Anolis sagrei: one gene and its partners. The protein of the gene in region 2 interacts with the protein of the main gene of each other region in a pairwise test. Links are inferred from orthologs where the notes say so. Each region holds a gene or a part of one and is shown on either strand. Other genes may lie near its edges.

The links.
Region 1: the proteins of KHDRBS3 (region 2) and PSMF1 interact in a two-hybrid assay, tested with the Homo sapiens proteins (2 studies listed by BioGRID and IntAct). The link is inferred for Anolis sagrei from reciprocal best matches to the Homo sapiens genes KHDRBS3 and PSMF1.
Region 3: the proteins of KHDRBS3 (region 2) and BAHD1 interact in binary tests that used the Homo sapiens proteins (3 or more experiments, as listed by UniProt). The two-hybrid records come from large-scale screens. The link is inferred for Anolis sagrei from reciprocal best matches to the Homo sapiens genes KHDRBS3 and BAHD1.
Region 4: the proteins of KHDRBS3 (region 2) and INPP5D interact in binary tests that used the Homo sapiens proteins (3 or more experiments, as listed by UniProt). The two-hybrid records come from large-scale screens. The link is inferred for Anolis sagrei from reciprocal best matches to the Homo sapiens genes KHDRBS3 and INPP5D.

The regions. Positions count from the first base shown.
Region 1 is NC_090024.1:241,203,604-241,211,546, forward strand, and holds the start of PSMF1 (proteasome inhibitor PI31 subunit), read left to right. Parts: upstream 1-4,937; 5' UTR 4,938-5,154; coding exon 5,155-5,283; intron 5,284-7,906; coding exon 7,907-7,943. UniProt on the Homo sapiens protein: Plays an important role in control of proteasome function. Inhibits the hydrolysis of protein and peptide substrates by the 20S proteasome. Also inhibits the activation of the proteasome by the proteasome regulatory proteins PA700 and PA28.
Region 2 is NC_090024.1:14,032,300-14,039,918, reverse strand, and holds the start of KHDRBS3 (KH domain-containing, RNA-binding, signal transduction-associated protein 3), read left to right. Parts: upstream 1-4,613; 5' UTR 4,614-4,835; coding exon 4,836-4,926; intron 4,927-7,619. UniProt on the Homo sapiens protein: RNA-binding protein that plays a role in the regulation of alternative splicing and influences mRNA splice site selection and exon inclusion. Binds preferentially to the 5'-[AU]UAAA-3' motif in vitro.
Region 3 is NC_090021.1:289,983,391-289,990,357, reverse strand, and holds the start of BAHD1 (bromo adjacent homology domain-containing 1 protein), read left to right. Parts: upstream 1-3,950; 5' UTR 3,951-3,989; coding exon 3,990-3,999; intron 4,000-6,967.
Region 4 is NC_090023.1:221,345,586-221,353,135, forward strand, and holds the start of INPP5D (phosphatidylinositol 3,4,5-trisphosphate 5-phosphatase 1), read right to left. Parts: upstream 3,013-7,550; 5' UTR 2,841-3,012; coding exon 2,707-2,840; intron 1-2,706. UniProt on the Homo sapiens protein: Phosphatidylinositol (PtdIns) phosphatase that specifically hydrolyzes the 5-phosphate of phosphatidylinositol-3,4,5-trisphosphate (PtdIns(3,4,5)P3) to produce PtdIns(3,4)P2, thereby negatively regulating the PI3K (phosphoinositide 3-kinase) pathways.

The DNA of each region.
Region 1 (7,943 bases), about 230 Mb from region 2:
AGAAAGGTTGAGAACCACTGCTGTAGAACTTAGAAAACTATTATTTGATTTAAGTCGTTGGCGTGCTGGCTGATATCCGAACAGGGGATGAGCTGGAGATGTCTCTGCCTTGGTCCTTTCACTATTGGCTGCTACTTCCCGGCGGATGTCAGGTGGTGCAATACCGGCTAAGCAGTGTAATTTCTCCAGTGGTGTAGGGCGCAGACACCCCGTGATAATGCGGCATGTCTCATTAAGAACCACATCTACTGTTTTAGCGTGGTGAGATGTGTTCCACACTGGGCATGCGTACTCAGCAGCAGAGTAGCATAGTGCAAGGGCAGATGTCTTCACTGTGTCTGGTTGTGATCCCCAGGTTATGCTGTGAGCTTTCACATGATATTGTTTCCAACACCCACTTTTTGCTTGATATTCAGGCCGTGCTTTGTGTAGGTCAGAGAATGGTCCAGGGTAACTCCCAGGTATTTGGATGTGCTGCAATGCTCCAGTGGGATTCCTTCCCAGGTAATCCTCAGAGCTCTGTAAAAATGGGGAAAATGGTTTTCCTCTTTCAGCCAACCCTCCACCCCCATAAAATGGACTATTCTTCTCTCTTAGCGCCCACTTGTGGCCTCCCTCCCGATAATAATACAGTACGCATTTTACTTTTAATAAACCTCTCCCCAGCATCTCTCTTTCTCTTTGCCTTTTATTATTATTATTACATTTTACTGAACCAACCATTCTATTGCAGTTTATTAACCATGGCATTTTACTTAACAACCATATCGTTATTAACAACCTTATTATTAACCTTGGCATTTTATTTACCTTTTGTTGTTGTTGTGTTTTGCATTGGATGAACTTTTCCACTTGGTTTTTATTTTGTATATTACTAACCTTGGCATTTTATTTACCTTTTGTTCTTGTTGTTTTGTTTTACATTGGATGAACCTTTGCACTTTGTTTTTATTTTGCATATTATTAATCTTAGCATTTAATTACCATTTGTTGTTGTTGTGTTTTGCATTGGATGAACCTTTGCATTTTGTTTTATTGTGTATATTATTAACCTTGGCATTTTATTTACCTTTTGTTGTTGTGTTTTGCATTGGATGAACCTTTGTACTTTGTTTTTATTTTGCATATTATTAACCTTGGCATTTTATTTACCTTTTGTTGTTGTTGTTGTTGTTGTGTTTTGCATTGGATGAATCTTTGCACTTTTTATTTTGCATATTATTAACCTTGGCATTTTATTTACCCTTTGTTGTTGTTGTTGTTGTTTTTGTTGTTGTGTTTTGCATTGGATGAACCTTTGTACTTTGTTTTTATTTTGCATATTATTAACCTTGGCATTTTATTTACCTTTTGTTGTTGTTGTTGTTGTTGTGTTTTGCATTGGATGAATCTTTGCACTTTTTTATTTTGCATATTATTAACCTTGGCATTTTATTTACCCTTTGTTGTTGTTGTTGTTGTTGTTGTTGTGTTTTGCATTGGATGAACCTTTGTACTTTGTTTTTATTTTGCATATTATTAACCTTGGCATTTTATTTACCTTTTGTTGTTGTTGTTGTGTTTGGCATTGGATGAATCTTTGCACTTTTTTTATTTTGCATATTATTAACCTTGGCATTTTATTTACCCTTTGTTGTTGTTGTTGTTGTTGTTGTTGTTGTTGTGTTTTGCATTGGATGAACCTTTGTACTTTGTTTTTATTTTGCATATTATTAACCTTGGCATTTTATTTACCTTTTGTTGTTGTTGTTGTTGTGTTTTGCATTGGATGAATCTTTGCACTTTTTTATTTTGCATATTATTAACCTTGGCATTTTATTTACCCTTTGTTGTTGTTGTTGTTGTTGTTGTTGTTGTGTTTTGCATTGGATGAACCTTTGTACTTTGTTTTTATTTTGCATATTATTAACCTTGGCATTTTATTTACCCTTTGTTGTTGTTGTTGTTGTTGTTGTTGTTGTGTTTTGCATTGGATGAACCTTTGTACTTTGTTTTTATTTTGCATATTATTAACCTTGGCATTTTATTTACCTTTTGTTGTTGTTGTTGTTGTGTTTTGCATTGGATGAATCTTTGCACTTTTTTTATTTTGCATATTATTAACCTTGGCATTTTATTTACCCTTTGTTGTTGTTGTTGTTGTTGTTGTTGTTGTGTTTTGCATTGGATGAACCTTTGTACTTTGTTTTTATTTTGCATATTATTAACCTTGGCATTTTATTTACCCTTTGTTGTTGTTGCTGTTGTTGTTGTGTTTTGCATTGGATGAACCTTTGCACTTTGTTTTATTTTGTGTATTATTAACCTTGGCATTTTGTTTACCTTTTGCTGTTGTTGTGTTTTGCGTTGGATGAACCTTTGCACTTTGTTTTATTTTGCATATTATTAATCTTGGCATTTTATTTACCTTTTGTTGTTGTTGTGTTTTGGATTTCATGAACCTTTGCACTTTGTTTTTATTTTGTATTTTATTAACTTTGGCATTTTATTTACCTTTTGTTGTTGTGTTTTGCATTTGGTGAACCTTTGCACTTTGTTTTATTTTGCATACTATTAACCTTGGCATTTTATTTACCTTTTCATGAAATGCAAAACACAACAAAAGGTAAATAAAATGCCAAGGTTAATAGTATGCAAAATAAAACAAAGTGCAAAGGTTCATCAAATGCAAAACACAACAACAACAACAACAACAACAGGTAAATAATAACCTTGGTATTTGGATTTCATGAACCTTTGCACTTTGTTTTTATTTTGTATTTTATTAACCATGGCATTTTATTTAGTAAGCACTCCTTTTTTGCATTTTACTTAAAACCTATTATTGCATGTAATAGACCTTTGCATTTTGTTTTGCTTTTATTTTGCATTTTATTAACCATGGCATTTTATTTTGCAAGCACTCTTTTTTTTGCATTGCATTTTACTTAAAACCTATTTTTACATTTGATTGACCTTTTCATTTTGTTTTGCTTTGCTTTTATTTTGCATTTTATTAACCATAGCATTTTATTTAGTAAGCACTCCTTTTTTGCATTGCATTTTACTTAAAACCTATTTTTGCATGTGATGGACCTTTGCATTTTGTTTCCTTCCTCCTGCTGCTTTTATTTTGCATTTTATTAACCATGGCATTTTATTTAGTAAGCACTCTTATTTTTTGCATTGCATTTTACTTAAAACCTATTTTTACATTTGATTGACCTTTTCATTTTGTTTTGCTTTGCTTTTATTTTGCATTGTATTAACCACGGCATTTTATTTAGCAAGCACACTTTTTTTTTGCATTGCATTTTATTTAAAAACCTATTTTTGCATGTGATGAACCTTTGCATTTTGTTTTGTTTTGCTTTTATTTTGCATCTTATTAATCATAGCATTGCATTTTGCATTGCCTTTTACTTAAAACCTATTTTTGCATGTGATGGACCTTTGCATTTTGTTTTGTTTTGCTTTTATTTTGCATTTTATTAACCATAGCATTGTATTTTTCATTGCATTTTACTTAAAAACCTATTTTTGCATGTAATGGACCTTTGCATTTTGTTTTGTTTTGCTTTTATTTTGCGTTTTATTAACCATAGCATTGCATTTTGCATTGCCTTTTACTTAAAACCTATTTTTGCATGTGATGGACCTTTGCATTTTGTTTTGTTTTGCTTTTATTTTGCATTTTATTAACCATAGCATTGTATTTTTCATTGCATTTTACTTAAAAACCTATTTTTGCATGTAATGGACCTTTGCATTTTGTTTTGTTTTGCTTTTATTTTGCGTTTTATTAACCATAGCATTGCATTTTGCATTGCCTTTTACTTAAAACCTATTTTTGCATGTGATGGACCTTTGCATTTTGTTTTGTTTTGCTTTTATTTTGCATTTTATTAACCATAGCATTGTATTTTTCATTGCATTTTACTTAAAAACCTATTTTTGCATGTAATGGACCTTTGCATTTTGTTTTGTTTTGCTTTTATTTTGCGTTTTATTAACCATAGCATTGCATTTTGCATTGCCTTTTACTTAAAACCTATTTTTGCATGTGATGGACCTTTGCATTTTGTTTTGTTTTGCTTTTATTTTGCATTTTATTAACCATAGCATTGTATTTTTCATTGCATTTTACTTAAAAACCTATTTTTGCATGTAATGGACCTTTGCATTTTGTTTTGTTTTGCTTTTATTTTGCGTTTTATTAACCATAGCATTGCATTTTGCATTGCCTTTTACTTAAAACCTATTTTTGCATGTGATGGACCTTTGCATTTTGTTTTGTTTTGCTTTTATTTTGCATTTTATTAACCATAGCATTGTATTTTTCATTGCATTTTACTTAAAAACCTATTTTTGCATGTAATGGACCTTTGCATTTTGTTTTGTTTTGCTTTTATTTTGCGTTTTATTAACCATAGCATTGCATTTTGCATTGCCTTTTACTTAAAACCTATTTTTGCATGTGATGGACCTTTGCATTTTGTTTTGTTTTGCTTTTATTTTGCATTTTATTAACCATAGCATTGTATTTTTCATTGCATTTTACTTAAAAACCTATTTTTGCATGTAATGGACCTTTGCATTTTGTTTTGTTTTGCTTTTATTTTGCGTTTTATTAACCATAGCATTGCATTTTGCATTGCCTTTTACTTAAAACCTATTTTTGCATGTGATGGACCTTTGCATTTTGTTTTGCTTTGCTTTTATTTTGCATTATATTAATCATAGCCTTTTATTTTGCAACCCCCCCCCCTTTTTTTTTTGCATTGCATTTTACTTAAAAACCTATTTTTGCATTTGATGGACCTTTGCATTTTGTTTTGTTTTATGTGGATTTTGCATTTGCTTGACCAGTGAAATGCAATCCTCCCGGAACCAAAGTGCTGGGCTGTTTGTTTCCTTGCACAAGGGGGTGGGCCTCCCTGGGAAGCCCTATTTGCACGTGACTGTTTCCTCTCCCCTTCCTGGGCTACTTTCACTTTCAGGCACCATCGCAGCAGCTTGCATTGCAAGCAGCCCATCCTTCCCTCCTTTGCTGCTGTTGCATTCCTTCCTCCTGCTGCATTGTTTTCACCCTTTTGCACGCTTTGCCTGCTGACGCGTGTCTTATCCTTTCCCACGTGACGCGTGTCAGGCGGCTGGGGCGGCGGCAGCAGCGCGATGGCCGGCCTGGAGCTGCTCTTCTCCTCGGTGTCGCCGGACCTTTCCTGCCCGCAGGACGCCTTGGTCTGCTACTTGCACTGGAAGCTCATCAGCCATGGCTACCGCTGCCTGGGGACAGGAGACCAGGTGAGAATTTGGGGGGGGGGGGGGGGACACTCCAAATTCTCCTTGCAAAGCACCTCCAAAAAGTGGAGTGCACCCCACCCACGCCCAGAAGCAACCCAACAGAAGGAAAGCATGCATGTAAACAGAGCATCCCTTGACCAGAATGCTTAAGACAAAGAGTAGAGTGCCATGACTCACTGTTATGCATTGTTATGTTTGATTGTTTATGTTTTGCTTCATTGCAAAGTTGTTTTAATTGTTTACTAGCCATCCCCTGCCACACATTGCTGTGGCCCAGTCTGTGTATATGTGTTTTGCGTACATATATGTGTTTTGTGCATATATACAAATATATAATGTATTTTTTACTTTTTGGCTTTTTAAGTCCCTTCTGCTGTGTTTTTCAGTGTTTTTAATGAGTAATGGTCACTCATTGGCCTGAGAGGTGCCTTGTGTCCAAATTTGGTGTCAGTTTGCCCAGTGGTTTTTGAGTTAGGTGAGTCCCACAAACGAACACTACATTAGGTTCTTGTGGGTTTTTCCGGGCTATATGGCCATGTTCTAGAGGCATTTTCTCCTGACGTTTCGCCTGCATCTATGGCAAGCATCCTCAGAGGTAGTGAGGATGCTTGCCATAGATGCAGGCAAAACATCAGGAGAAAACGCCTCTGGAACATGGCCATATAGCCCGGAAAAACCTACAACAACCCAGTGATTCCAGCCATGAAAGCCTTCGACAGAACATTACATTTTTATTTTTATAGACTAGAAATCCCAAAAGTCAATGTCTGTTTCCCCCAAATTCCATCTGTGTTCATATTTGGGTATATGGAGTATTTCTGCCAAGTTTGGTCCAGATCCATCATTGTTTGAGTCCACAGTGCTCTCTGGATGTAGGTGAACTGCAACTCCCAAACTCAAGGTCAATGACCACCAAACCCTTTTAGTGTTTTCTGTTGGTCATGGGAGTTCTGTGTGCCAGGTTTGGCTCAATTCCATCATTGGTGGAGTTCAGAATACGCTTTGATTGTAGGTGAACTATAAATCACTGCAACAACAACTCCCAAATGTCAAGGTGTATTTTCCCCAAACTCCACCAGTGTTCACATTTGGGCATATTGAGTATTCGTGTAGAGTTTGGTCCAGATCTATCATTGTTTGAGTGCTCTCTGGATGTAGGTGAACTACAACTCCCAAACTCAAGGTCAATGCCCACCAAGCCTTTCTAGTGTTTTCTGTTGGTCATGGGAGCCCTGTGTTCCACGTTTGGTTCAATTCCATCTTTGGTGGGGTTCAGAATGCTCTTTGATTGAAGGTGAACTATAAATCCCAGCAACTATAACTCCCAAATGACAAAATCAATTTTTTTGAGTGATGGGCACTCGCTGACCTAGTAGGTGTATTGTGTCCAAATTTGGTGTCAGTTCGTCCATTGGTTTTTGAGTTATGTTAACCCCACAAATGAACATTACATTTTTATTTAGATAGATTTATTTATTGATATTTATGGTATCAGGAGCTAACCAATGTCTTTGAAAAAACACAAAGTTTAAAAAACTGGGCATCATACTGAATGGCCACTTGGAGTGCCTCTGGTGTCGCGTTGAGAAGGTCCTCCATTGTGCATGTGGCAGGGCTCAGGCTGCATTGTAATAGGTGGTCTGTGATTTGCTCTCCTCCACACTCGCATGTCGGAGACTCCACTTTGTGCCCCATTTCTTGATATTGGCTCTGCATCTCGTGGTGCCAGAGCGCAGTCTATTCAGCGCCTTCCAAGTCGCCCAGTCTTCTGTGTGCCCATTCAGCGCCTTCCAAGTCGCCTAGTTTTTGGTGTGCCCAGGGGAGAGTCTCTCATTTGGTATCAGCCATTCATTGAGGTTCTGGGTTTGAGCCTGCCACTTTTGGACTCTTGCTTGCTGAGGTGTTCCTGCAAGTGTCTCTCTAGATCTTAGAAAACTATTTATTGATTTAAGGTGTTGGCTGATATCCAAACAGACGATGGGGCTGAAGACGTCACTGCCTTGGCTTTCGTTATTGGCTGATACATCCCGGTGGATGTCAGGTGGTGCAATACTGGCTAAACATTGTAATTTCTCCAGTGGTGTGGGGTGCAGACACCCCATGATAATGTGGCTTGTCTCATTCAGAGCCACATGATGAGATGTGTTCCACTCTCGGAAGCAGAGTAGCAAAGCGCAAGGGCAGATGTCTTCACCGTGTCTGGTTGTGGTCCCCAGGTTGTGCCAGTCAGCTTTCATATTATATGTATGGTTGGGGACGTGAGAGAAGCCTCCCCACAGGGTTACAACACATTCAGGCATCCCCTGGACAACTGCTGACACTGGGCATGCGTACTTGACAGCAAAGTGCAAGGGCAGATGTCTTCACTGTGTCTAGTTGTGATCCCCAGGTTGTGCCAGCTTTCATATGATACGTATGGTTGGGGACGTGAGAGAAGCCTCCCCACAGGGTTACCACACATCCAGGCATCCCCTGAACAATGTCTTTGTAGATGGCTGATTCTCTCAGTTGCGATATGTATGGTGGATCTGTATTGTTTTGAAATGTTGTGATCCGCTTTGGTCCCACTTGACATGATGCAGCCCAGCAAAAGTGTCATATCTCTCTCTCTCTCATCGCCCAGCCAGGTGCCAACGAGCGGAAGTCGGAGATGTTGCCTC
Region 2 (7,619 bases):
GAGAGAAGGATGAAACCAAGGAGCGAAAGAAGGAAAGAAAGAAAGAGGTAGAGAAGGAAGAAAGGAGAGAAAGGGGGAGAAAAAGGGGGAAGGAATAGTATTTCATAATACTCCAGATATCTACCTCTACTTTGAAAAGATTTACTATAGGCCACAGTAACGCGTGGCAGGGTACAGCTAGTAGATTATGTATATATGTGTCTGTATCTTTTATAAGGAATTAGTTTAGCTTCCAGTTTATTCTGTTATATGATGCATATCTGAAAAGTGTGTTGCAAACATGAAATGTTTGGAAAGCTCTGTTCTGCGGCACCTAGTATCCCATGCCAATCCAAATTGTCATCAAAGGGCTTTTCTAGCAGGTCAAGCTTCTATCTTTCATTTAATTTTGAATGCAGAGGGCCCTCACTATACAAGGTCACGTGGCCGGCTGCATGGAGCGCCATTATTCTGGGCTATAGGGCTGTGTGGAAGGGCCTTATGAGTCGTTTGTAAGTCGGATGTTTGGAATCGGGTACTGCCTGTATATGGCTATTTCTCGATTCTGAAAAACAAGAAGAGAAAAAAAATCCCAGGCCCCTTCCGCACAGCTGTATAAAATCCTACATTATCTGCTTTGAACAGGGCTATATGGCAGTGTGGACTCAGATAACTCATTTCAAAGCAGACAATGTAACTTAAAAAATGCTTGTATTTCATTTTGTCTCAAGAACCAGGTTTCCCTCACTTCATGTGTTTCACCTCTGTTCTGAACTATGAGTCATTTGTAAGTTGGATGTTTGTAACTCAGGGGCTACCTATAATTTGACAGTTTTAGCATATATATCAGGCTTGTGCAAACTTTGGCCCTCCAGGTGTTTTGGACTTCAACTCCCACAATTCCTAATAGCCTACTAATGGGGTTGTTGTGTGTTTTCCTTCTGGCTGTTAGGAAATGCGGAAGTTGAAGTCCAAACACCTGGAGGTCCGAAGTTTGCCCATGCTTTATATATATATATATATATATATATATATATATATATATATACACACACACACACACACACACACACACACACACATATACAAGCCGTCCCCTGACATGTGTTGCTGTGGCCCAGTCTGTGTATATGTGTTTTGTGCGTGTACATAAGTGTTTATGTGTGTGTATAAATTTATGCACATATGTGTGTTTGCGTATATATGTGTGTGTGTATATTTATGCATTCATATGTTTATATGTGTATATTCATATTGGCATATTGTGTATATATGTGTGCTTGTCTATATGCATATTTGTGTGTATATATGTATGTATGTAGGTGTGTGCATGTGTATATGTATATATATATGTGTAAATGTGTATATATTTGTGTATTTGTGTGTTTGCATCTGTATATGCATATTGTGTACATGTGTGTGCTTGCCTATATGCATATTTGTGTGTATATATGTGTGTAAGTATGTGCATATGTATCGATGTGCATGTGTATATGTATATATGTGTGTATATGTGTATATTTGTGTGTGCTTGTGCATATATATACTCATATGTATATGAGTATATATGTATATATGGTGTATTTTTGGGGGTTTTAAGTTGGGTGCTTTTTTCTTGTGTGTGTGTGTTTTTAGGGGTGATGGACACTCGTTGTACTGTTAGGTGTATTGTGTCAAAATTTTGTGTCAATTTCACCAGTGGTTTCAGTGTTTCTCCCACAAACGAACATTATATTTATGGATATGGATTTAGACACACACACACAAGCTGTTGAGAGCGAGATAAAGCACAACTTCAGAGTCCATGTTGCTGTGGTCACACCAAAAAAGTTCCAGAGTCCAGTCAGCAATAAACACCAAGCAGAAGTCTAGCCCAAGGTCAACAAAGCCAACAGTCCAAAAAAGCAGTCAAAAGTTAAAGCCAGAATCCAAAACAATCCAAGGTACAATCCCAGATTCAACAAAATGGATAATCTTTAAGCTATGGCCACCCAGCTGGCAATTCTTCTTCTCTCCATGTGGTCCAAGGAAGCCAAAGAGTAGAACATCCCAGTGTTGTGATATCCAGATTCTATGCAATCTGGTTTTACAGAATTGTACTTCTCCCCATGTCGTCCAAGGAAGCCAAAAAGTTGAACATCCCATTGTTGTGATATCCAGATTCTATGAAATCTGGTTTTAAAGAACTGTTTTCATTACAAAAAATATCTGGAGTTGTGCCTTTAATTGTTGTCTAACAAGAAGCAACACCTGATGAACTTCCTTCTTCTACACAGCCATAACAAGTCCAATTTACAATCTGACAGGACAAAGGAGTTTCAAGTGTGAGGCTTTACTCTGCCTTGATGACCAGCCACTGACAGAAGTGACAGAGAGTTTCATCTATGCTGATGATTGTGCCATACCGCTCAAGCAGGGAACTTTGAGATGGTAGAACAGAAGCTCTCTGAAGCGCTAGGCACTCTTACTGCCTATTACAGGGAAAACCAGCTGACCCCCAACCCATCTAAAACACAGACATGTGCTTTTCACCTTAAGAACAGACAAGCATTCCAAGCTCTGAGGATGACCTGGGAAGGAATCCCACTGGAGCATTGCAACACACCCATATACCTGGGAGTCACTCTGGACCGTGCTCTGACCTACAAGAAGCACTGCTTGAACATCAAGCAAAAAGTGGCGCTAGAAAAATTATCATACGAAAGCTGACTGGCACAACCTGGGGATCACAACCAGACACAGTGAAGACATCCGCCCTTGCGCTGTGCTACTCTGCTGCTGAGTATGCATGCCCAGTGTGGAACACATCTCACCACACTAAAACAGTGGATGTAGCTCTTAATGAGACATGCTGCATTATCACAGGGTGTCTGCGCCCTACACCACTGGAGAAATTACACTGTTTAGCTGGTATTGCACCACCTGACATCCGCTGGGAGGTATCAGCCAATAGTGAAAGGACCAAGGCAGAGACATCTCCAGCCCATCCCTTGTTTGGGCATTAACGACTTAAATCAATACATAGTTTTCTAGGATCTACAAAGACACTCGCTGGAACACCTCAGCAAGCGAGAGTCCAAACGTGGCAGGCTCAAACCCAGAACCTCAATCAATGGCTGATACCAAACGAGAGAGACTCCCCTGGGCACACAGAAGACTGGGCGACTTGAAGGCGCTGAACAGACACCACGAGATGCAGAGCCAACCTCAAGAAATGGGGCTACAAAGTGGAATCCTCGACATGTGAGTGTGGAGAAGAGCAAACCACTGACCACCTGCTGCAATGCAACCTGAGCCCTGCCACATGCACAATGGAGGACCTTCTTGCGGCAACACCAGAGGCACTCCGAGTGGCCAGATACTGGTCAAAGGACATTGAATCAACTACGAAGCTTGCAAACTTTGTGTTTTGTTTGTTTGTAAAAAAATGCAATGTCACAGACCAGCTGCTGCAATGCAAGCTGAGCCCTGCCACATGCACAATGGAGGACCTCCTTGCAGCAACATCAGAGGCACTCCAAGTGGCCAGACACTGGTCAAAGGACATTTAATCAATTACCAAACTTGTAAACTTTGTGTTCTGTTTGTTTGTTAAAAAATGCAATGTCACAGACCACCTGCTGCAATGCAAGCTGAGCCCTGCCACATGCACAATGGAGGACCTCCTTGCAGCAACACCAGAAGCACTCCAAGTGGCCAGACACTGGTCAAAGGACATTTAATCAATTACCAAACTTGCAAACTTTGTGTTCTGTTTGTTTGTTAAAAAATGCAATATCACAGACTACCTGCTGCAATGCAACCTGAGCCCTGCCACATGCACAATGGAGGACCTCCTTGCAGCAACACCAGAAGCACTCCAAGTGGCCAGACACTGGTCAAAGGACATTTAATCAATTACCAAACTTGCAAACTTTGTGTTCTGTTTGTTTGTTAAAAAATGCAATGTCACAGACCACCTGCTGCAATGCAAGCTGAGCCCTGCCACATGCACAATGGAGGACCTCCTTGCAGCAACACCAGAAGCACTCCAAGTGGCCAGACACTGGTCAAAGGACATTTAATCAATTACCAAACTTGCAAACTTTGTGTTTTGTTTGTTTGTAAAAAAAATGCAATGTCACAGACCACCTGCTGCAATGCAAGCTGAGCCCTGCCACATGCACAATGGAGGACCTCCTTGCAGCAACACCAGAGGCACTCCAAGTGGCCAGCTACTGGTCAAAGGACATTTAATCCACTACCAAGCTTGCAAACTTTGTGTTCTGTTTGTTTGTTTTGTTAAAAAAATGCAATGCAACTGTTTGGTCTGCACGATAAATAAACACTCTGCCTTGAGCAGCATAGCCTAAGCCAGTTGGGGGCGCGCGTGCGCACTACGACAGTCTCGCGCAGGCTGTGTGTGTACTAAATAACGGCCGGCGCTCGCGCCGCTCCCTTTGTCTTCGCCCCGAGGACCAGCCAATCAGGTGAGAGCAAACACTTCCTCGCGCTCCCTCCCTTTGCCCAATAGTTCACAAAGGTGGGCGGGGCCTGTTCTTTGGAACGGTCGGAGAGGGGAAAAAAAGGGGGAGGAGCGTTCCTCTAAGGATGGGCGTGGCCTGGAGGGCGGCAGTCTATATAAAGCGAGGCGCGGCGGCGTGGCCAGCCTCAGTCGCGGCTGGGGAAGCGAAGAGAGAGGTTGTGCTCCTTTTTTTCTCTGCTTGTTGAGAGTTTGGGCGTGTTTGTGACTGTTTGTGAGGGGTTTTCCCGGGTTTTATGCTCCTCCTTTTGGCTCTGAAATTTTAATTTCCACTCTCCCAACGAGGATTAACGAATACCCGAGGGTGCGAGGCTTCCAGGCCGGAGGGCAGGCCATGGAGGAAGAGAAGTACCTGCCAGAGCTGCTGGCCGAGAAGGACTCCCTGGACCCTTCCTTCACCCACGCCTTGAGGCTGGTCAACCAAGGTGGGTTTCAGCCCCTGGAGGGGGACGCCTTTGTCTTGCTATATCTGCTGCCTCTGCCTCTTTGGGTTCTGTGTTTTGTTTCCTGGATCCCTGTGTTGATTAGAAGTGGGTAGGTCTCAAGCAAAGGAAGCAAATTTCAGTCCCAATTCAGTCAATTATTAGGACAATGTTTCTCAACCTTCCTAATACAATTCCTTATGTTGTGGGGACCGCCAACCATAAAATTATTTTCGTTGCTACTTCATAACTGTAATTTTGCTACTGTTATGGAGCTGTGGTTAGACCACACCTGAAATATTGTGTCCAATTGTGGGGCCCCCAATTCAAGAGAGATGTTGACAAGCTGGAATGTGTCCAGAGGAGGGTGACTAAAATGATCAAGGGTCTGGAGAACAAGCCCTATGAGGAGCGGCTTAAGGAGCTGGGCATGTTTAGCCTGAAGAAGAGAAGGCTGAGAGGAGATATGATAGCCATGTATAAATATGTGAGAGGAAGCCACAGGGAGGAGGAGGGAGCAAGCTTGTTTTCTGCTTCCCTGGAGACTAGGACCCAGTGGCTTCAAACTACAAGAAAGGAGATTCCATCTGAACATAAGGAAGACTTTCCTGACTGAGCCGTTCAACAGTGGAACTCTCTGCCCCGGAGTGTGGTGGAGGCTCCTTCTTTGGAAGCTTTTAAGCAGAGGCTGGATGGTGATTTGAATGCAAGATTCCTGCTTCTTGGCAGGGGGTTGGACTGGATGGCCCAGGAGGTCTCTTCCAACTCCTTGGTTCTATGACTATGATAATGTAAATATCAGATAATCAAATATATTTTCATTCACTGGATCCAATTTGGCACAAATCTCCAATATGCCCACATTTGAATACTGATGAGGTGAGGTGGGGTGGGATTCATTCTTTTCATTTCAGAGTAGTAGTTGCTAGGATTTATAGTTCACCTACAATGAAAGAGCATTGTGAACTCCACCAAGGTTGGAATTGAAGCAAACTTGCCACACAGAACTCCCATGACTAACAGGAAATACGGGGAAGGTTTGGTGGGCATTGGCCTTGAGTTTGAGAGTTGTAGTTCACCTATACTTGGCACACAGAACTCCCATGACTAACAGGAAATACTGGAAAGGTTTGGTGGGCATTGGCCTTGAGTTTGAGAGTTGTAGTTCACCTATACTTGACACACAGAACTCCCATGACTAACAGGAAATACTGGAAGGGTTTGGTGGGCATTGGCCTTGAGTTTGGGAGTTGTAGTTCACCTATACTTGGCACACAGAACTCCCATGACTAACAGGAAATACTGGAAGGGTTTGGTGGGCATTGGCCTTGAGTTTGGGAGTTGTAGTTCTTCTGTACTTGCCACACAGAACTCCCATGACTAACAGGAAATATTGGAAGGGTTTAGTGGGCATTGGCCTTGAGTTTGGGAGTTGTAGTTCACCTATACTTGGCACACAGAACTCCCATGATTAACAGGAAATACTGGAAAGGTTTGGTGGGCAATGACCTTCAGTTTGGGAGTTGTAGTTCACCAACATCCAGAGAGCACTATGGACTCAAACAATGTTTGATCTGGACCAAACCTGGCATGAATACTCAACATGTCCAAATGTGAAAACTGGTGGAGTTTCGGGGAAATAGACCTTGACATTTGGGAGTTTCTTGGATTTATAGTTAACTTACAATACTCAGTATGTCCAAATGTGAAACATAGAATTTATTTATTTATTTCACTTTTACCCTGCCCTTCTCAACCCCCGAGGGGAGACTCAGGGCGGCTTAGAATCAAAGAGTTGGAAGAGACCTCAGTACAACCCCCTGCCAAAAATCAGGAATATTGCATTCAAATCACCCCTGACAGATGGCCATCCAGCCTCTGTTTAAAAGCTTCCAAAGAGGAGCCTCCACCGCACTTCGATGCAGAGAGTTCCACTGCTGAATGGCTCTCACAGTCAGGAAGTTCTTCCTCATGTTCGGATAGAATCTCCTTTCTTGTAATTTGAAGCCATTGTTCTGCGTCCTAGTCTCCAGGGAAGCAGAAAACAAGCTTGCTCCCTCCTCCCTGTGGCTTCCTCTCACGTATTTATACATGGCTATCATATCTCCTCAGCCTTCTCTTCTTCAGGCTAAACATGCCCAGCTCCTTAAGCTGCTCCTCATAGGGCTTGTTTTACAGACCCTTGATCATTTTAGTCACCCTCCTCTGGACACATTCCAGCTTGTCAATATCTCACTGGTGAACACAGGTGGTGTTTGGGGAAAACAGTTCTGGACACAATCAAAGAGCATTCTGAACCCCACCAACGATAGAATTGGGTCAAACTTCCCACACAGAACCCCCATGACCAATAGAAAATACTGTTTTCTGATGGTCTTTGGCAACCCCTCTGACATTCCCTCGCACCCCTCCCCCCTTCCAGGGGTCCCAAACCCCATGTTGAAAAACACTGTGTAAAGGTTATAGGCCAGCATAAAAAAGAAAGACAGGCAGAGAAAACAATACAAAAACAGTAGGGTATGTAAAGCAAAGTGGTATAAAACAAAGGGTGTGTAAACAAAGTGGTATTAAACAATTCATATTTAATATTAGGTTTCTTTAGATCTTAAGAAAAAGGCAACGTTCCGTTCTATTCAGCCATCTGTTAGGGTCAGCATAAAAGGAGACAACAAAGTGGCGCATAACCATAGGTTAGG
Region 3 (6,967 bases), on a different chromosome or scaffold from region 2:
TCACCAGTCTTAACTGGAAATGGAGATGGACAGTCGGATGGCAGCAAGTTAAGATGGTGGGATGGTCAATGCTAGTCCTTCCAGGAGTGGAGATGGAAGACGCGATGACAGTGGAGATGGAAGACGCGATGACAGGCGTCTCAGATGGTGAGATGGTGAGTCAGACCCCACTGGAGGAGGCCTGGGCTGCTGGCTACTCACAAGGAGTCCTGGGAGCAGGCTGGAGATCTTTATTGCCCCTTACAGCAGCACAGCAGACTCCCACAGCAGACTCCCACTCTTTCTCCCACTCTGGGCATTCTATAGATATACAAACTCCACTTGCCTAGTTTCCAACAAGCCTCACAATCTCTGAGGATGCCTGCCATAGATGTGGGTGAAATGTCAGGAGGGAATGCTTATGGAACATGGCCATACAGCCCTGAAAACTCACAGCAACCCAGAACTCTTGTCTGTTTGAGGCAAGTCTAAACATTGCAATTGATCACATTGATTTGCACTGAATAGCCTGACAGCTTCAAAGCCTGACTGCTTCCTGCCTGGGGGAATTTATTGATTTTTGAACATTTGTATCCAGTCCTTCTCACCCCCGAGGAGGGACTCAACAAGTACTCATTTGAGTGCTAACCACAATAATAAATTTCATTAAAATTTGTGTCCGCATCTCCTACAACAAACCTGCACAACCTCTTCAATCCTCTGAGGAGGCCTTTCTCTTGCCCTTTCCTCTATCACAAGCTCGACTTGTGGGAACGAGGGAGAGGGCCTTCTCTGCTGTGGCCCCCCACTTTTGGAACTCGCTACCTAGGGAGATTAGGCAAGCCCCCACCCTAGCTGCTTTTAAGAAAGATCTAAAAACCTGGTTCTTCCGATGTGCCTTTGGAGAGTGACCACTCAATCCCATCTGGTTATTTTGAACTGTAGCTGCCCTCAGAATAAAACACCTTCCCATGCCTCCTACAAAGGCCAAATCCCACTACTTCTCCCTGTTGGACTCCTCTCTTATCCCTTTTATCCCTATCTCACTCAGGGTTTTAACCTGTTCATATTTTACCTCATACATTTGGCCCTCCCTTTGTATCTGATTTTATTATGCTGTTTTATAATGTTGATTTTGTTATTTCATATTTTGTTGATGTATTTTTGTTATTGTGCAATCAATTATGTTGTATTATTTTGGGCTTGGCCTCATGTTAGCCGCCCTGAGTCCCCACTGGGGAAATGGTGGCGGGTTATCAATAAAGTTTATTATTATTTATTATTATTATTCAAACAATCATTAAAAATCATTTGTTGGGAAGTGATTAGCTGGCCCTGATGGTTTCTTGTCTGGAATTCCCCTGTATTTGAATGTGTCTCTTTATTTACTGTCCTGATTTGAATTTTTTTTAAAAAAAAAATACTGGTAGCCAGACAAGAAAAAATCAGGGCCAGCTGAGCAGCTAAGGGGAAAAGGAAAGGGCCCGAAGCTGGGTTGTTGTGTGTTTTTTGGGCTGTATGGCCATGTTCTAGAAGCATTCTCTCTTGACATTTCGCCTGCATCTATGGCAAACATCCTCAGAGGATGTGAGGTCTGTTGGAAACTAGGAAAATGGGGTTTATATATCTATGGAATGTCCAGAGTGGGAGAAAGAACTCTTGTCTGTTGGAGCTTGGTGTGAATGTTGCAATTGGCTACCTTGATTAGCATTGAATAGCCTTGCAGCTTCAAAACTTGGCTGCTTCCTGCCTGGGGGAAGAGAAGAGTTCATTATCCCACCCTGGACCTTCCACAGCCTGAAAAGGGATCTACCTGTGGGCGGCTCCTTCCCTCCCTGTCTTTGAGTGGCAGGTGGGCCACCGGGCTCTGTTTCCCCGGTGGCCCCTCAGAAAGCTAGAGAACAGGCAGGCATGTAGCGGGGGGGGGGGGGGGGCTTGAGGGGCTTCAGCCCCTCCTGAAATTTTCATGGTGGTTCGCGAAAAGGCCTTACTGGTGCATTATTTAAACTGTTATGTTTATTCATATCATGATCTGATCACCTTACTCAATATATCCCATATGCATGGGGGTATTGGGGTAATGATACAAAAGGTTTGCTAGGACAGACCCAGTTTCACTCAGACTCAGCCCCCCCCCCAAATCGAAATCCTGGCTACGGGCCTGAGAACAGGCATGGGCAAACTTGGGCCCTCCCTCTAGGTGTTTTGGACTTCAACTCCTACCATTCCTAACAGCCTCAGGCCCCTTCCTTTCCCCAATTTTCCTAGTTCCAACAGACCTCACAACCTTTGAGGATGCTTGCCATAGATGCAGGCGAAACATCAGGCGGGAATGCTTCTAGAACATGGCCATACAGCCCGAAAACCCTACAACAACCCAGTGTTTCCAGCCATGAAAGCCTTCGACAATGTATGGCCAGGTTCTTGTGGTTTTTTTCGGGCTATAGGGCCATATTCTAGAGGCATTTCTCCTGACGTTTCGCCTGCATCTATGGCAAGCATCCTCAGAGGTAGTGAGGTCTGTTGGAATTAGGACAGTGGGTTGATATATCTGTGGAATGGCTGGGGTGGGGCAAAGAGCTCTTCCCTGCTGGAGCTAGGTGTGAATATTTCAACTGACCACCTTCATTAGCATTTGAAGTCCTGGCTGAGCCGGGGAAAAGATGTGCCTGGTTGTTTCCTCTCTGTTGTTTTGCTGTCGTAATTTTAGAGGGTTTTTTAAAATACTGGTAGCCAGATTTTGTTCATTTTCATGGTCTCTTCCTTTCTGTTGAAATTGTCCACATGCTTGTGGATTTCAACGTATGGCCATGTTCTAGAAGCATTCTCTCCTGACGTTTCGCCTGCATCCGTGGCAAGCATCCTCAGAGATTGCGAGGCCTGAGGCTGTTAGGAATGGTGGGAGTTGAAGTCCAAAACACCTGGAGGGCCCATGTTAGCCTGGTGTAGAGAGATGCAAGAGTGGACCTGGATCCGGGGGAGCGGGGGATACAACAAAGGGAGGGGATCGTGGTGGAGGAGGAGGAGAAGGGGTGGGGAGGAGGGAGCGCAAGAAACTTCTCCTTCCCCCTCCCACGCGGGAAAGGGAGCCGGTGATGGAGCCGCGTGGCGGGTGCGCGAGCACGAGGGCAGGCACTCAGGGCTGGGGCATCAGCAGTAGCAGCAGCCCCTCCCCCTGCAGCATGCAAAGCGGAGAGAGGGCGATTGAGGAGGGCTCCCGAGGGGAGGGGAGGGGGCGGGGCAGCGGGTGGAGGGTGTCCGTGCCTCGATGCCTCCTCCTCCTCCTCCTCCTCCTCCTCCTCTTGCTGGATGCCTCCTGGCTGGCTCGACTGGCCTGCGCCGGGACCTGGCTGCTGTGGCGGCGATTGGCTGGCGGGGGCGGGCCAGGCGCGCGGCGATTGGGCGGCGCGGCCGAGCGGACGGCGGTGGGGAGGCCCCTGATTGGCTGCCGACGAGGAAGCAGGAAGGGAGGACGGACCAAGAGCCGAGCAGGGGCGCGGGGCCGCCGCTTCTGCTGCTGCTCCTGCTGCTGCTGCTACCGCCGCTTTCGGGGACTTGGTTGCTCCTCGTCATCGTCGGTGGGAGCTCATCGTGGGAGAGGAGAGCGCCATCCGGATCCGTCCTCCGGAGTCTAAGCCGTGTCTCTCCTCTGCTGCCGCCCCCTCCGGCCTTCGCCGCGCGGGCCCCAGAAGGGGGCGCGCCTCAGTCCCCATCCCGGTGGCGACGACGCGGAGGGAGGGCCGAGGAGAAGGAGGAGAAGGAGCAGCGGCGGCGCTGACGCAGCAGCGTGGATCCCGGGATTCAGGCGCCCCGCCGCGGCGTCCCTGCCGCCGGATTGCAGCCCGGCCGGGGCCTCCTGGCTCTGCCCTGCGTGGGGCCCGCACAGCCCCCTGGAAGGAGGAGCAGGAGGAGGAGGAGAGGAGCGGGAGCAGGCACCCTCGGTAAGCAGGCGGTGGGGCTCCACCCTGGGCGTCGAGGAAGTTGCGGGAAGGAATCAAGGAAGGCAAGCGATGGGAACAGGTGCCTTCGCCGCCACTAGCCAAGGAGGATGTATACGGGAGGGAGGGTGGGTGGGTGGGTGGGCTTGCATGCGGCGGGGAGGTTCACCCACCCAGCCAGCCAGCCAGGCACCCGCGCGGGGATGTCGCGCGTGAAGGAGCGGAGGGGGCGCGGCTCTCGCGGGACGCCTTTCCTTCCTTCCGAGCTCCCATCGGGTGGGTGGCCTCCTCGGGAACTTTCCACCTCGATCCGGCTGGGGCTGGTATTGGTATGGAAGAGCGAGGCGTGGGGGCTTCCTTCCTTCCTTGGCCGCGTGTCCCCGCCGAGGAAAGAGAAGGACCCTCCCCTCCCTCTCCTTCCCTCCCCTCCCTCTCCTTCCCGGTTGCCTTTCCCTTTCCCTGGCGTCGTCGGGGGTTTCCCCCTCGTCGTAGTCGGCCATGATCCCTCTCTTTCCTCCCTTCTGCCTTTCCTTCCATCCCTTTTTCTCTCCCCCCTTTTCCCTGGGCTGAAGAAGGGCCCTCGCGTGGGGCGGCGGCGTGGGCGGCTCCTTCCTTCCCTGTCTTTCCTTGGCAGGTGGGCCACCGGGCTCTGTCTCCCGTGGCCCCTTAGAAAGCCGGAGAATCAGGTATGGGCAAACTTGGGCCTCCCCTCTAGGTGTTTTGGACTTAAGCTTAAGCGGCGGAGGGGGAAAAGGAAGGGGCCTGAGGCTGTTAGGAATGGTGGGAGTTGAAGTCCAAAACACCTGCAGGGCCCAAGTTTCCTCCCTGAGACTGTCCATCTGGTGCAAAACAAGATACGGCCCACATTGCACATGGCTCCTGTTTTGAAGGGGAAGAGCCCAGTCCCCTTCCATGTCCAGGGCCCCTCGGCCTTCCTGGGATTAGTTCTCGGTCTGGAGTTATGTAACGACTAGGAAAACCATTAACTTTGGCAGCAGCAGCAGCTCCCAAACCCCACCTTAGAAACCCACTGGCAAAGTGTTGTGGAAGGCTTTCATGGCTGGGTTGCTGTGTGTTTTCCATGTTCCAGAAGCATTATCTCCTGATGTTTCGCCTGCATCTGTGGCAGGCATCTTCAGAGGTTGTGAGGTCTGTTGGAAACTAGGAAAATTGGGTTTTATATATCTGTGGAAAGTCCAGGGTGGGAGGAAGAACTCTGGCAAAAGCTCCAAGCAGAAGCCAGGAGCCCAAGAGAAGGGTGGTTTTGTGTTTCCCTTCCAGGCTGCTTCCTTCCTTCTCTTCCCTTCCTTTTCCTTCTTCCCGCCCTCCCTTCTTTCCTTCCTTTTTTCCATGTTTTCTTCCTTCTTTTTTCCACCCTTCCTTCCTTCTTTCCTTCCTTCCTGCCTTCCTTCTCTCTTTCTTTCATTCTTTCTTTCCATCTGTCCTTCTTTCCTTCCATCCTTTCATCTTGATTTCTTGCTTTCTTTCCTTTCTTCTTTCCTTCCATCTTCCCCATCCCTTCCTTCCTTCCTCCCTTCTTTCTTTCTTTCTTTCTTTCCTTCCTTCCTTCCTTCCTTCCTTCCTTCCTCCCTTCCTCCCATCTTTCCTTCCTTCTTTATTTCCTTCCTTCTTTCCTTCCATCCTTTCTTCTTGATTTTTTCTTTCCTTCCTTCCTTCCTTCTTTCCTTCCATCTTCCCCATCCCTCCCTCCCTCCCTTCTTTCCTTCCTCCCTCCTTTCCTTCTTTCCTCCCTCCCTTCTTTCTTTCTTTCTTTCTTTCTTTCCTTCTTTCCTTCCATCCTTCTTTCCTTCCTTCCTTCCTTCCTTCCTTCTTTCCTTCCTTCCATCCCTTCCTTCCTTCCTTCCTTCCTTCCTTCCTTCCTTCCTTCCTCCTTTCCTTCCTTCTTTGTTTCTTATCTACCTTCCTTCCTTCTTTCCTTCCAACCTTCCTCCATCCCTTCTTTCCTTCCTAAGACACCCCTTTCCCCTTTCTGGTCCCCTTCCCCACTTCGGAATACGCTGCCTCCTCATTTTTGTACAACCCAGACACGGAGACAGATGCCCAGGGCCCTCAAGGACAAAAGACCCCCTTCAGAAACACTTTCCGATCTCCTGGTTAGTAGTCTCTTGGAAGCAAGGAAGGGGTTGTAAACAGTCCCTAGAAAAAGGAGGGTCTGAGCCTGGAAAACTTTTTCAAAAACACAATTCCTCATAGAGGTTATTCCTCTTTCCTGTGTTTTCTTGGAAAAGACCTGCTGGGAAACGAATCCTGGTGGATTGTCTGTAGAGAGAACAAGGCTTCCGGGCATGTTAATGGCTCAATATAATTGTTGACATGACAGAAAGCCACAGAATCATGCTCGTATTTAGAAATCGTTATGAAGATTCACATAGATAGGTATGAGCAAACTTGGGCCCTCCCTCTGGGTGTTTTGAACTTCAACTCCCATCATTCCTAACAGCCTTAGGTGTCTTCCTTTCCCCCCTCCGCCGCTTAAGCGGTGGAGGGGGGAAAGGAAGACACCTGAGGCTGTTAGGAATGGTGGGAGTTGAAGTCCAAAACACCCGGAGGGAGGGCCCAAGTTTGCTCTCTGAGACTGTCCAGCTGGTGCAGAAGATATCGGCCCTGTTGCATATGGCTACTGTTTTGAAGGGGAAGAGTCCAGTCCCCTCCACCAGTCCCCTCCACATCCAGGGCAAGTTTCATGAGAGGGTGCTTTGAATGAAAATCGACCTTGCTAGAAGCGCTTCCCCCCAAAATATCCTTTCCATCTGGGTAATAGAGGTGAGACTTCAAACACACAGGCAGCACATTTCAGAATGTGTTGAGGACTCGCCATGTAATTTGGCCGGAACGTATCTCTTTCCAGGTGACAAACCTGCATCCAGTGGGAGGGTTGAAATACGGCTGACAGCTGTATTCAACAAGGTGATGCGCTGTCATTTTCAAAACCAGGTGTCAAATTACACGTCTTGTCTTTTCACACGTGCTCGCCGAGCTCAGGAAGCCACGCACGTGAAACTTATTTGGGGAGGTTGTGTTCATTCTAC
Region 4 (7,550 bases), on a different chromosome or scaffold from region 2:
TTTTGTTTGGAAACCGCCCTAAGTCCCCTAGGGGAGATAGGCTGGGTTATAAATAAAGTTATTATTATTATTATTATTATTATTATTTTCTGGAAATTGTGGGTTTTTAAAAAGATTTATGTATTTATTCATATAGACATACATGCGTATTTGTTGCATACAGTGCAATATTTTCCAGCTATTAGTGTTCCATAATAATTTCTCAAATAATATATTTTATTTAAGGAGTCACAGTCTTCTATTTAAATAGTACATATAAAGGTATCATAGACTCTAAATTAATATCCGCTTCCTCCTTGTCTGCAGTCTTATAGGATCCCCATGTACATTTTTAGTTTAATTTTACATTGAGATGTTGAATCATTGGCTGCCATTCATTAACAAAGTTCTCTAATAGTGCTTCTCTTAAGAATACAGTTATTTTATCCATTATCCATGTATTTTCCCCATTCTTGTGAGGTATCTCTGACATTTTTCAATATCCAGCATATACTATTCGAGCTGCCGCTGTCATGTAAAACAATTTTTTCCTGAATTTCCTTTCTAGTTCTTCATTAGGCATGTTCAAAAGGTACATTTGTGGGGTCATTTTGACCCAAATAACTGGATTGACTTATCTACATGTTAGTGCAAGTACTGTCACTTATATAAAGAAGGAACCATCCCATTTTCTGAATAGAGTGGCAAAAGGCATAAGCTTAGTCCATCTTCAGAAAATCTAAAAGAAACACTAAAAGAAAATCTAAAAGAAATCACCACTACTTTCTCCACCTTAATCCCACTTCTGGTCTTTTTGAATGCCTGGGTGGAAAAACGGCAGAAGCCAAGGATGGAGAGCCTGAGCTGCTGCTGCTGCTGGCACTTTCTCCTCTCCGCTTGACTTATCCTCAGCTCGGATCATATGTGAATCTATCGTTTGGCCCCCAAAACCTGCTCTTTGCTAGGTCAACTTATACAAGAGTGATTGTTGACTGTCATATGTGGGTATATTTTGGTTAGAACTAAGAACTGGATCCAGGCTTCATTCAGAAATTTAGTTAATCAATTTTTAACTGGATTTCACTACTAAAACCCCACATCTTTGACCTTGGAGGGTCCTGCCCATACACTCCACCCTTGGGAGTTCCCTTCAGCTCTTCTTAGTTAAAACTAGTTCACATGCCTGAGTCTCTGAGGTCCCTTCCACACAGATGTATAAAATCCACATTGAACTGGATTATATGGCAGTGTGCACTCAGATAATCCAGTCCAAAGCAAATATTATGGATTATCTGCCATGATATTCTGGATTATATGTCTGTATAGAAGGGCCCTGACTCTTTGGAGTCTACAAAGTTGATTTCTCACAGGAAATATGGGACTGAGCTTGGAAAATTTGCATTTTTGGATTATACTTTGGATGTCCCAGTAAGCATGGGAAATATGGGACTGAGCTTGGAAAATTTACATTTTTGGATTATACTTTGGATGTCCCAGTAAGCATGGCCCATAAGTATGCAAGATGAGAGACACTGAGGGCTCTTCCACTGGGTTATCTGAGCCCACAATCAGATAATGTGGGATTTTCTGCCTTGATATTCTGGGATATAGGGCTGTCTGGAAAAGCCCCTAGAATATCAAGACAGAAAATCCCACATTATCTGAATGTGGATTCAGATAACCCAGTTCAAAGCGGATATTATGCGATTTTCTTCCTTGATATTCTGGGATATAGGGCTGTGTGGAAGGGGCCTAAGACAGGTTTGTCCAAATCGCAACCCGTGAGCCACATGTGTCCCAGGACGGCGGTGAATGTTGCCAAACGCAAAATCGTAGACTTACTTAAAACTTGAGATTTCTTTTGCATTTTTTGTAACTTAATTATATAGTTCTCGAGCATGAACTTGTACATAACAACAAAGTGGAATGAAATATTCAGAATATGTTAGGTCCACAAATATCTGGGTATTATCTGCAATTATCTGTGATGAGGGATATGACAGAAATTATGCACTGACTTCTTTTGTTTTATTCATCAGCTATCGTTAATGTTAATGTATTTTATGTGTGGCCCATGACAATTCTTCTTCTTCCAGTATGGCCCAGGGAAGTCAAAAGACTGGATATACCCCTGCTCTAAGTGATACAGTCCAAACAAGGAAAATTATCAAACTCCAGTAAAGGGGTATTTCTGAAGTAAAGCATATTTGTGTGACCTTTCATATATTCCCAGTAGTACATTATAACAGCACCTCAAGTAAAATTAAGGCCATTCCTGAGGATTATTCAGAAAATCAGCATGTTTTAATAAAACCTCTTCTGATATAGCAAACATATATGCATAAAGAAAGCTGGTGAGTTCCAAGCCTCAATGATTCAGCAAAGAGATGGGTGCATTATTATTATTATTATTATTATTATTATTAATAATGTTTTACAAGGTGATATCTCATGACATTGTTGGAGAACTTACTTTGTAAAACTTCCATCCCCTTTTGTGCTTGCTAATGACTAGCTACTCTTTTCAAGTGACTTTTTCTGTAATGTCTATCATGTCTCCAGGTTCATGTACTGCTTTTACCGAACTTAACTGCTCCTCGATGGGATCACCTACTGTGTCGAGAAAGAGTGGATAGCATTGTAATATGTGTGGCTTGCACTCCCTGTGGAGCTGAAATAGCACCAGAGATGAAGCTGAGTACAGTAGAAGATAAGAGGCATACTTACAGCAGGCAGAGGGCATATGCTGAAGAGATGGACTCACTGGCCCGCACAAGGAAGCTCCCATCCTTTCCCACTTTAGAGAGGAGGTCTTCAGCTCTTGAACGTGTGATGGTCCCATGGTACCAGCACTGATCCATGCCTCATAGGCAAAACACTCTGCCTCCCCAATGCAAGCAACTTTTAATTTATGATAACAATAATCAGCCAGCCAGCAATTATGTTGAGATCTCAGAGCTGTCTGTGTGTAGTGTTCAGCAGCTGCCGCTCACTCAGCTTCCTGTTTTAATGGTGCAGAGAGGAGAGAGAGAGAGAGGAAACAGAGCTGAGAACTTCCTTATAGAAGCAACTCCAAATGAGAAAGACATGCCACGCTCACACTTCACCTCCAAATTCGCTCTTTCTGGATAGTTGCAGTGTCCACATTAATTGTGTTTGTACAAATTCAATGGATAGAGTTCATAGCCAGTGGACTGTCCCCAAATTAATCTGCCCCTAGGCAAATACAGAGTTCTTTATCTCCTTCCCCAGTCCTACACTTTCTCTCTCTGCCTTTCTCTGTTTTATCCAAGACTTGGTTGTTAAAGCCTGAGGGTAGGACACAGTCAGATAAATATTTATGAGCTGCGCTGTGAGCCTTTTTGGCTGAAGAGAATGGTATAAGTGCTCTAAACAAACAAACAAATGAATACTTTAGTGCAGCATTGTACTAAATAATGGATACTGTATAACATTGTTAAAGTTGTGGGAGAGCTGCTCGCATTTATATGTACTTACAGGGAAATTGTGGCTAATAATATTTTGCTTCTGCCCAAATACATTATAATTGGGTCTTGACATATAGGTCAAGTTTAAACTTTGATAGAAGTTCCACATTGTTTTGCTTCCATGATAGTTATGAATTAATTCAGCGAGGGGTGTAAAATCAATAGTCACAAGTGGGAGATAAAGGTGGAATAGGCAAGGTTAAGAACACTAAGAAAATAATATTTGATATGTATTTTGAAATGGTGATGGATTGTGATATTATTCTACCTGTGTCTGCAATAAAAACATATTGGGGGGAAAAGCAATTAATTCAGGTAGTAAGTAATTTGATATATGTATCAGAGGCAAATGTGATGGGGAAAAAAGGAAAGTGAAAGATAGGAGTGGAGGTATTCAATTAGTCTCGTGTTGCCCAGCCATGCCCTTGGACCTCCATTTGTGATCTTTTATTGCATTTACACAGTGGCGGGTGACTACAATGCACTTCACATTTTGCAGAGGTTATTTTGGCCGGAATCTGGAATACATGGGGATCAGCTGCAGCACATTTTTTGGCTGACCTCAGGCTTTCCTGGGACATTCAAAGAAGTGCTGCATGATCCTTGATGTGCATTACAGTGTGCATTGGCGGTGTGCATTTTGTGGCCACCATGGCCTCAAGTCAGCTTCAAACTGCATTATAGTGTCAGTGCAGTGTGCTCTCAGACTGAGTGCTTGAAAGCTTTAATCTTGATCTGAATTCACCATCTAGCTAACACTTTCCCTCCAGCCTTCTTTCTTCAAGGAGGCTGGGGAAAACAGCGGCAGTACCTTTATCCCAGTAGCTCCTGCTTCAAAATGGAGGGTGGCCAAAAAACATCCCCTGAAAATGTGGGAGCAATTGCTACAAAGGACAAAAAATGCGAGATTTTCAGTTGCGGGAATATCCCAGTTCTGGCTGGAAAATGCAGATATTTGAATACAGGATTTTTTTTCTGTTGCTTTGTTCCTGGGTTATACATGTCGGTTTCTGACTGGTTGTATCTTAAAACATGGCAACAGTTGACTAGAAGGTGAAAACGTTATCCTAGAAAGAGAAACTTTGTCTTCCACACGTTTAATTAAGTTTGTGAAACACAAACAAAGGTTTTCCCGTGCATTTGCAATCAACTTTTCTCGTGTTTTTATGATAAAAGCAATGAGGAACAGACATGTATAACCCAGGAACATGACCCTGTTCTTCCATGCCACAAGTACACCACAAAACCTGTCTGCACAGATGGCCAGGCAGCCTCTGAAAAGTGGTAATAATGACTAAGTTCTGTTCCTGGCTTGAAAGTGTGTGTTCCTGTTTGATTGTATAGTACTTCCTTCAAAAGTAATGATCCTACTCCATAAACTTTGTTTGTGTGCCAGAAACTTCATTAAACATGTGGTTGGCAAAGTATTTCTTGTCAAAACAAAGTTGTCACCCTGTAGTCAATATTGTACATCTTTTCACAATAACAGCAATGAGGAACAGACATGTATGTCCCAAGAACAGCACCCTGTAGTTTCCAGGCACAAGTACACGGCCAAACTTGTCTGCACAGATGGCTACACAGCCTCTATAAGCCAGGAATGGAACTTATACAATGATTCGCATATTCACAAATTTGCATATTCACATCTTAGGGGCTGCAAAATCCCAGAACAAAGCAGCAAGTGTGGATGACGGAAACAGAAATCCCAGGACCAACAGGTCTGTATGTAGACCACTTCTCATGTCCTGGGGTTTTTTGCCTTGACTAAAACCCGCAATTTGGTGCTGTCTGGAAGCACCCTGAGTTGTATACTGAAATGTCAGGTTTGTAGCTTGAACAAGGTGGAACAAATTATATCATGGGCTTCGGCTGTTGACCTCTATCTATATTGTGGAATATGATGGCGTTGGGTCCTTCCACACAGCCAAACAGCCTGCTATTTCTAAAACTACTGTTCCATCAGTGGTTGCACTTATACCTGGCAGATCCCTGGGGTGATAAAGAGCAAATGTACAGTATCTTCTAGCACATTGGTGGGAGAGAGACCCACCAAATGATGTTGGACTATATCTTTACTATGTCAGAATATTATCCAGCTGATAGGGGATGATCGTTGTTTGAGTAAAACAGCATCTGGAGAGCCAAAAATTCCCCATATTAATTTTAGGATTTTTTCTCTTTGCACAGGTCCCTGTTCCCAACTATATCTATAAGGCTGTGGCCAAGACCAGATGCTTGAGAGATGTGGTATTATAATGTGCAGTCTCCAAGTTCCTATACTATTTTTGGTGAGCAGGTCGACAGGTCATTATAATTTGCATAACTGTAAAATCTGTGGTTTCCTGTGTGCCATGGATAGGAACTGTACAAAAGCTTGTGTCCCAAGTGTTTCAAACTGTGGTTCTGCAGCACAGAGCTACAATAAGCTGTAGCAAAACTGTTGTGCAGATATGCAGTGACAATGGAAAGTGGCCTCAAAATTATCTTGCATAGTGATAGTGGCCATGATCAGTGATGTAAGTGATAACAAATGGTCGTAATGAAAGGGCAGTGATGAACTAACAAGTCTATTTTTGTGAAAGTCATTTGCTGGCTACGTTTATTTCAATTCAGTGATGTAAAAGAGATGCTTCAAACTCATTCTATGATATATAGCTCTCGTTCAGTCAGGTTATGGTGTCTTTAAAGGGGTGCTACTGCTGTGCATTTTAAAATATTATGCATTTTTAAATGTATTCAAGTCAGTCCAAGCTATTCCAACAGCCGTTCTTTCAACACCGGAAAGTCTAGTCTATCCAGTACACAATATTGGCATGCACACAAATAGTTCACCCTTTGGCAATTGAGAATGGACTAACTCCGCCTGTTTTCCAGAACACCATGTAACAAAATTTGAAAAAATTTCTGTTCCTGGTTTGAAAGTATTATTTCCCGTTTAATTGTGCGCTGCTTATTTTGAAAGTAGCTGTTCAACTCCAGAAATTTCATTTTTGTGGCTGCCACAAACTATGTTGAATTGGTTGAGACTCAAGGAGATATTTATTGAAAACCTATAGCAAATTGTACTGCAGGATATCCACCCCCCCAAAAAAACGAACATTTTTGTAGTTTAATTAACTGTTCCCGTGTTTTTATGATAAAACCAATTAGAAAATGACATTTATAACCTAGGAACAAAAATGGTGTTACACAGTGTAATGTTTTCAAGCACGTGCTCATGTCATTCAAGTTACATACCAGAACTGTGTGCATGTAAAAGTTAGCTCATAAATGCACACACGTATGTGGAAAATTTTGTACCTATGACTATTTCAATGCATTTTATGCATATCTCCTATTAATTTTCATTCTTTTTTTGCAGTTTTCTCCTAGCCTAATTTTGTATATTATTTCTCCCAGGATTTTGTGTGGAATTGAAAAAAAATTGTATACATTACCTTGTATGCTTCCTCTTGGGATCTGCAAGCAAATTTCTCTGATTTTCACAATTGTGTTTGCTAGTTATTTCTATTTATGTAAGCATTGTGCAAGCATTGCTTTGAACATGGAACTGCATCACAACTTTTGAAGAAATGTGAAAACTGAACAGTCATTGTGTGCTATTTCATGGATTATTTCAAGAAATGCAAATTAGGCCACTTCATGCTAGAATGTGAATCAGACACATTTTTTCTCCATTTCTCCTCCCTTAATGGTCCTACGAATAAATGGTGAATGTCTTTTTATGGCCTATGGCACTTTTGACATGTTTTCAGATGTAAAAATCCCTTCCATTCTATTTCCTCATGAATCTGCAGCGCTGTTTAAAAATCTCCCAAATGCGAACTATTTAAATACATAACTAAATAGAATTTAATTAGGTATGCAAAGGCTACTTCCCTTTAAAAATACGCATTTTGTACTTGGTTAATAGCTGACTCTGTTCCACCTGACAACTTAGTGCCTGGGGTGTCCTCACTGGAGGAACTGTGGCTGACAGCTGGTTGTCAACTTTAGTACAGCTGGCAGTGATGGAAACTAACCATCTCCACTTGCTGCTTCACAAATGGCAGAATGAAACAGAGCAGATGGTGTTCAGAA